Linked DNA regions of Oryzias latipes. The main gene of each other region encodes a partner of the protein of the gene in region 2 in a complex. Links are inferred from orthologs where the notes say so. Each region holds a gene or a part of one and is shown on either strand. Other genes may lie near its edges. The genes, in order: histone acetyltransferase KAT2B and kif11.

Region 1 (3,823 bases), on a different chromosome or scaffold from region 2:
ACATAAATAAGAATAAACTAAGATAATTAAAGTAGTCCTTTAGATTACTGTCATTTTTATGTCCAGACAAAGCTTAAAGTATATGAACTAATACTTGGAAAAAAATAAAACCAAAAAGTGCTTTCTGATAGTCAAACTGCCTTTTTGTGGCTTGCTGGAAAAAATAGTTCTGGAAAAGAAAATATACTGTATTTATATATATATTTAAAATATACAGATGGCATAAGTGCTTACAATTCATTACAATCTGTACATCTTCAGTTATGATTTCCTGTAATTGGCAAAATGAACTCGTAGATTTTGACCTTAGTGCTGCTGTACATCAACTTTACTTCACGGTTAAACACTTTGACCGCCGTTTCCACACAGAAAAAAGGTCCTTCACGTGACTGCTTTACCTGAGTCAAGTGAGTGTAATAGGCAGTGTAAAAAAAACAATATTTTAGTCATTTTCTGCTGCCTTTTTAGTGTCAAATATGGACGACAACAGCACTTCTCTGTTAAGGTGGTGTCACAGCCACTACGTACATTTAGCGCATATTGCATGGATGAAAAATGGTCATACGTGAGTAAATGTGCAAGTAGTGGTCTTTATGTGAAATGTTCACAGATGTATCAAGAATGAACCACGTTAAAACCACGAAAGAAGTACGAATAAACCACGCAAAGAACACATAAATCAGCGCAAAAGCCAAAGCTGGCCCAAAATTTGTGCGTCAGTTACATAATTTTAACGTGATATATGTGCTGTATACGCAATTTAAAAGTCACACATCGTGGTTCATGTGAAAAGTCCGTTAGACATACGTGGAACGTTTTGTGGAAAGCTACAAATATGCATGTGCATCTTGCAAAAATCACACACAATTGTGTACGGTTTATGTAATGCGTATGAACGCAAATCACACAAACTGCTTAATTCTAAACCGACCAAAAGTTTTGAACGGCTCAACACCAAATTCGCGTGAAACCCTCGACCGGCTGCGCACATGAATGAAAAACACAAGAAACACTTGTGAATGACTATATCACGCATGTATCACGAAAGACCAAAATTTCATACAGGGAAAATTCGCAAAATGTACGTAGAGGCTGTGTTACAAGACCTTTAAATAAGTCCTATTTGTTCATCCAAACACAAAAAAGACTTAATACCTTTAAGAGTATTTCTTTGCCTTTCAAAATAAAGGTACTTATCAAGGATTTGCTGATTGGAGATCACGAGATGTTCCTCAGTAGTTCTACCTTTTTGGGACGTCCCCCACCCTTCTCAAAGGGGAAGCAGCTTCCCCGTCATCTACTTCTCAATGAGACCTGCTTCCTTGATCTTGCCGTAGAAGAATTTCTCCAGTAGGTTAGCGCACTTGTAGTACTCGCTTTCCGGTGGGTTGTATTCCCGGCAGTTGGTGAAGATGCGCTGCATGTCGGCCATGAACAGCTTGCGCGTGGTGTAGTACCTGCTCTTCAGGCGCTCGCTCATGGTTTTCAGGTCTGGCAGAGAAAAAAAAGAGTTTTTCATAGAAACTGGGACAACTAAAATGACATAGCATCTCTACTGGGAACACCACAACAGATCAAAAGATGATCGGAGCAGAATGTTAACGTGAATATTTTGATAATTACTTTGAGACAAAAAGCAATCGGCACTAAATGGAACGAGTCAGATGATTGTGCTTGGAAACAAAATTTAGGTGAATTGTTAAATATTGTTAGCTATTTACCAACTAAATTACACCATCAACTGTGCAAAACCTTTCTCGTGCTATTGGAGACTTGGAGATGGATCAGCATCTTTTTCTTTTTAACTCTTCTTCACCATCAATGAATGCTAGTAAATGGTAAATTGCGTATGCTTATATAGCGCTTTTCTACCTTTTTCAAGGCCCAAATCACTTTACAGTCACAGTCCCATTCGCACACACATTCACACAATTGTGGCGGCTCCCTCCCACATCCCACAACCCTCCCAGCTAATGCTCCGTATACACCAGGCATGTGACACGCATTCGAGAACACACAAAAAGGGCTTTCTGAAACGCACGTGTAGTGTATGGTCTGTCGCCACACAATACTAGCGCATGGACCTATAGTTGGAAGAGTGTTTGTTCGAAATGTTGTCAAATCTGGTGAATCTTGCTCCAGGAATTTTCTATCACAGTTCTATTCCCATGTAACCCTTGTGCTATCCTATGACCATTGATGTGTTCTCCCTACCATGACAAAGGTGGATAAAGGTGGAAAAGATTTCATGTAATCCATGGACACCAGTGAAGATCACAAATCATTGAAGAAAAAAGTTCAGCGCACTGTCTAGTGGGGTCTAGATCAGCGGTCCCCAAACCCGGGCCGTGGACCGGCAGCGGTCCATGGGTCATTTGGTACCGGGCCGCACAGAAAGAATAAATAACTTACATTACTTCCGTTTTATTAATTTCAGAATCTAAAAGATGTTTTATTTTTAAAAATTGCCCGATTCTCTGTTACATCTGTCTATGTCACTCTTGACGCAGGCCAAGGCGCTCTTCTCGGTCACGTGATAGGTTACCGCTAAAATAAAACCAAGGAGCTAGCAAAATGAATAAAAAACAAAAGTCTTTGGAAAGTTTCTTTGCCAAGGGGAAAACGCTCAGCCTGGAGACAAAAGAGGAGCCTTCGACTTCCAAAAAAAGAAAGCTACATTTAATAGACAGTACTTCTTTTTTGCACTATGAGTGTGGGAAGAGAAGAGGAGGATGACACCTGTGCGATGTACAATGTTGTGCGTGTCAAAATAAAAGCTCGGGTTTTGTGTTGTCCCGTCTCTTCCTTCTTCGTAGTATTGCTACTAAAATCACCTGCCTAAATTCGAATGACCGGTCCGTGACAATTTGTGTGACGTCATACCGCTCCGTGGCGTCAAAAAGGTTGGGAACCACTGGTCTAGATGACCCAACTCCCTATGTCAAAGTGCCTAGGATAGCACAAGATATATGAAAGACTTGGTGTCAGAATTCGATCTGGGAACAAACTGCGATTATTAATTTCTCCTTCAAGATCAATTTTAAAACGGTTGGCCAAAAAGCATGCCATCCATAAGTCACCAACAAATCCGAGTCCCTGATTGGTCAAAGTTGAACTGGTTTAACTTTCAACGCGCGTTCAATGGCTGTGTAATTTGTACTTGTGTGAACATGAGCGTTTTACATGTGGAAGCCAAAAATGTGGGCTTACATTCATTTTTCAGTGTTCATTTTTGAGTGCATGTTGCAGAGGCCGATGTGAATGTAGGATGAGACTATGAATCAGAACCAAAGACCTGCAGTGCTCCCTCAGCCCTGACACCAGCAGCAGGAAATTTGATTCCGGTAATCTTATTTTAATTTTAAGGCCTTGATCACTTATATTGTGACACTTGCTTCATATCAAACTCAACAAGCTGACATGAGTCGGTTCCTCATTAGTACTCAGTACGTACCCATGGGAAAGCGAATGACTTGGTAGTAACCCGGTGCCTCTGTTTTCTTCACGGGTTCCATGAAGGGCCAGGCGTTTTGGTGGCTCTGAAACATGCAGATTTGAGTTTAAAAAACATAAACAGATGTGGCGTGCATGTTTTTACGGGTTTGTCCTTCACCTTCACATGCTGGAGGATGGACTTCAGAGTGGTGTACAGTTGCTCTGGATCCTTCAGTTCCTTCCTGAAATAGAAATAGAAAAGCAGAAATTGTAACAATAATGTTTTATTTTTTTTTGTAAAAATGAGGCGTCCTTCGAGGCAGATGCTTATGACCTTACCCTTTACCTGCAGGCTTCCATCCAGTTTCGCCTGTGGAAAAGACCGTCT
Region 2 (3,823 bases):
TATCCCACAATCCCTTGCAGCTATTAGACCCAGCGTCCAGATGACCGCCAATACAATATGACGCAGCTTTCAAGTTGAAAGCAATCGTTAAAAGCGGTGTGAAAAAATCCACCATCACCAACGGGTTTGGAAAAGCCGGTCTGCTGCGTGATGGAGAGGACAGCGCAAGCTCAGGAGGGAATCTGCCTCAGGATGAGAGTGACACTGACAGCGACAACGAAGGAGAGACTGAGAGAGTGTGGCCAAGAATGTCTGACGCTATTCCAATCCGACACTGAGGAGATAGACTTCCATGGTTCAGTGCACAGGAGGAAGATGAAGAAAGCTCTCAGTGACTTTTCTGTTCATGTTTTTCAAACCAGCCCTGTTAGTGCTGTGTTACGGTATGTCACTGTTGTGGAAGAAAACTTACAGCACATGCAGAGGCTTTTTTTTTTTAAACCAGCTGTTACTACCATATTGCTGCCGTGTTACTGCCGTGTCACAGGCACTGTTTGGAAAGAAAAGCTCAGGTATATTATTAAAACTTTGAAAACTCTTTCTGTGTACCGTCTTTCTTTGTAAATATCACGTTTTGAACCTTCCCTGCAATTACTCTATTTTCTTTCTTTCCTCATCTTCTTTCATCTTCCTTCGGTTGTTCACTTCCTCGTTCAGACCCCCAGAGCCTCCCTCCTACTTCTTGCGCATGCGGTTTTGGCACATTCACATCCTCAATCTACAATACAGTGTGGCGACCTGGAGGTTAACCCCGCCTTCAGCCCCTAAGACTCATGGGAAGTGGGGAATCGTGGGTGTAAAGTTTTTCACCATGACTGAGGTGGCTGTGAGCAGAAGTGACATCCATGCTGTTTGGCTGTTTGTTAGTGTGTTGTAATAAATAGGCTATAATACTGGTAAGGTGAACATGCAACAGTATGTTTATTTCCCTCTCTGAGCTTGTTGGTGATGTGCAGAATGTATACATGTTCAAATAATGTGTTTAAACATAAGCGCATGCAGCCATATACGAATTTACGGTATTTTTCTGCAAAACAAAGAAGTACACTAAAACAACTGATAAATACTTTACGATTACGTAATCGTGGTCTAAGTTGGTTGAGATGGTGGTGATTGAGATTGTATGGGCCTTTCACTAATACCTAGCTGATAAAAGTTGTTGAATGGAAGTTTATTATTCAAAATGTGTTTTCTCTTTGCAGAGAGTCTAAGCTAACCAGAATTCTGCAGGATTCCCTGGGGGGTCGAACCAAAACGTCAATCATTGCCACAGTTTCTCCTTCCTCCAGCAATCTGGAAGTATGTATGCAGACTCTGACGACCATATAGCTTTTAAAACAATAAACGTTGAATTTCTCTATTTTAAACCAATAAAAGGTGGTTTTACTGCTTTATGGTTCCTCAGGGATTCCTCCTGCCCTATTAAAACATGTGTATTTGTCCGGCCTGTAGGAGACGCTGAGCACGCTGGAGTATGCCAGCAGAGCCAAGAACATCATGAACAAACCTGAGGTCAACCAGAAACTCACCAAGAGGACACTCATCAAGGTAGGGGGGGGGCATCCAAACTTTGCTGCAATTTAGAGCAGATGTTACATGTGGGATTCTTTAAAAAGCATCTGACTCTGAGGACAGACTCCATAATTTTTCTCCGTGTTGAACCGTAAACAAACACTCCCTGCTTCTTCTAGAAAACTTTACTTTTTCTCCGGTCAGGAATACACGGAGGAGATCGAGCGCCTGAAACGAGACCTGGCAGCCACCAGAGAAAAAAATGGAGTATTTTTGTCCTCCGAAAACTATGAGTGAGTGACAGATTTGAATTTACTTGATCTTACCAACACATTTTTTTAATTGCTTTAGCAGGGACTTTATTTGCTGCAAATGTACAGAATTTCCTTGATAAGGCTGTGATAATGTAATGCAATAAACCTTCAATTTGGGACATTTCTATTCTTTTTCTCCGTTATGGAGGAAAAGTCTCAGTTAAAGTGAGTCTGGAGGTGATGTTTGTTCTTCATCCAGCCGTCTTCAGGTCAGAGTTGGTTTGATGCAGCTGCTTTGTCCTTCAGGAGCATGATGTCACAGATCACAGCTCACGAGGAGCAGATCACCGAGTACACGGACAAGATCGCTGTCATGGAGGAGGAGCTTAAGAAGGTAGCAGCGCCCAACCAGGCTAGAGTCAACATCCAGATTTATCCTGACTTTGAATGAAAACTATGGCAGTAAATCACCAATAAGAGATGGATCTAGAGCTTTTATTGAGAAATAACAAAAAGATTTTTAGGTTTGTTTTTATTGAAGGTTTGTAATTAAATAAAACGAGGAGGAGGAGGTGGTCTCCAGCTGAAGATCCAAATGTATGCTTGTAGAAATTTCACTCAGGTTTATTACCAACACAAAGACGGCTGATGTGAGAATGTGTTACTGTTTTCATCTCCGTCAAGTCTGACAGGTGTGGTTCTCTGCCCTGCAGGTGACTGAGCTGTTCGAGGATAGCAAAACCCGCCTGGAGAAGTTCAGCGTGGATCTGGATGAGAAGCAGCAGAGGTAGAGTACCAGGACCCCTTTGGCTTTCACGCGAGGCAGATCAGAGGTTTGAATAAGTTAAAAAACAGATTTTTTTTTTGGTTTCCAGGCTGGAGGAGACTAGCAGAACCTTGGAGCAGACGAAGGAGAAGCTGGTCCATGAGGAGTTCATCAGCTCAGAGCTCAACACCGTCCAGGAAGCTCTGTACAACACAGCCGGACAGGTAGAGACCCCAAAAGCCGGTCCTTCCTCCAAACCCCCCTCCCTGAAGGAACTCCACATGACAGCATCAGATGCTTAATGTTTTCTGTTCTCCAGCTCCTGAGTACAGTTCATGCCAGCACCAGCGACGTGTCGGGTCTGCACGACAAACTGGACAGGAAGAAACAGGTCAGACACTCCACTCCACGGATTCAGGGGCGGAAAGTTTCTCAACAAAGAACTGAAACGGTTTCAAGGCTGGAAAACATGTTTGGTTTTGACAAAAGCTTTGTGCAACTGAGGTCAAATACACACTTTTGTCTTTTTTAATGCACATTTAAACAAAGAAAACCAGAATCCCAGTTCATAACAGAGACTGGATGTCTGTATTGTTGACACATAAAAGCCCCCATGTTTTTTCTGATGGGGTTGTGTGTCGGTTTACATGGTGCAAATCAGGTTGGGAGTTACTGGTCTTGTGAATACTCTAACATGGCTAACGAGTAGCGTTTTACAAACCAGTTGTAGAGTTACTATGAACACAGTTAATAAGTCTGTCAGTCAGACTCTGTCTGAATCTTGTCTCACTTAATGCAGCTTATCGTTCAATGTGCCTTAAATATGACCTGTTCAAAAACAGACCGTTCATTGAAGGAGTGTCATATAGTGTGGAAAAATACAAAACTTTTTTCACTAAAGTTTACAAAAACATTTAAAAGGTTTAACCAATTTAATTTTTAAGTGTTGCAGAAAAACCTAGAGACCAGTGGGAGGAAAACACATTGAGAGATCGAAGATACTAGTGTAAAAGTAGTATTTTAATTTTCTTTTTTAAACACATGTACTTTTCTGCAGTTCATTGGCTGCTGCTGTCCGCTCAGATAAAGATCCATTCATGTCTGTTCATCCAGCATTGACGTTGTTTGGCCAGACTGATGGTCTGCTCTTATCCTGCAGGTGGAGCAGCACAACCTGCAGATGCAGCAGAGCTTCGCTCAGAAGATGGACGGCGCCTTCAGCTCCATGCAGCTCTGCGTTGAGGAGCACCGAGCCAAACACAGCCGCATGCTGAGCAGCTGCTCTCAGGCC

The links.
Region 1: kif11 (region 2) and histone acetyltransferase KAT2B share a complex: the UniProt entries of both Homo sapiens proteins name them as parts of the large chromatin remodeling complex. The link is inferred for Oryzias latipes from reciprocal best matches to the Homo sapiens genes KIF11 and KAT2B.

What each region holds. Positions count from the first base shown.
Region 1 is NC_019869.2:22,455,730-22,459,552, forward strand, and holds part of histone acetyltransferase KAT2B, read right to left. Parts: intron 3,806-3,823; coding exon 3,775-3,805; intron 3,678-3,774; coding exon 3,614-3,677; intron 3,540-3,613; coding exon 3,455-3,539; intron 1,492-3,454; coding exon 1,298-1,491; 3' UTR 1-1,297. UniProt on the Homo sapiens protein: Functions as a histone acetyltransferase (HAT) to promote transcriptional activation. Has significant histone acetyltransferase activity with core histones (H3 and H4), and also with nucleosome core particles.
Region 2 is NC_019873.2:10,607,509-10,611,331, reverse strand, and holds part of kif11 (kinesin-like protein KIF11), read left to right. Parts: intron 1-1,202; coding exon 1,203-1,299; intron 1,300-1,452; coding exon 1,453-1,548; intron 1,549-1,716; coding exon 1,717-1,805; intron 1,806-2,072; coding exon 2,073-2,160; intron 2,161-2,479; coding exon 2,480-2,553; intron 2,554-2,641; coding exon 2,642-2,756; intron 2,757-2,851; coding exon 2,852-2,923; intron 2,924-3,691; coding exon 3,692-3,823. UniProt on the Homo sapiens protein: Motor protein required for establishing a bipolar spindle and thus contributing to chromosome congression during mitosis. Required in non-mitotic cells for transport of secretory proteins from the Golgi complex to the cell surface.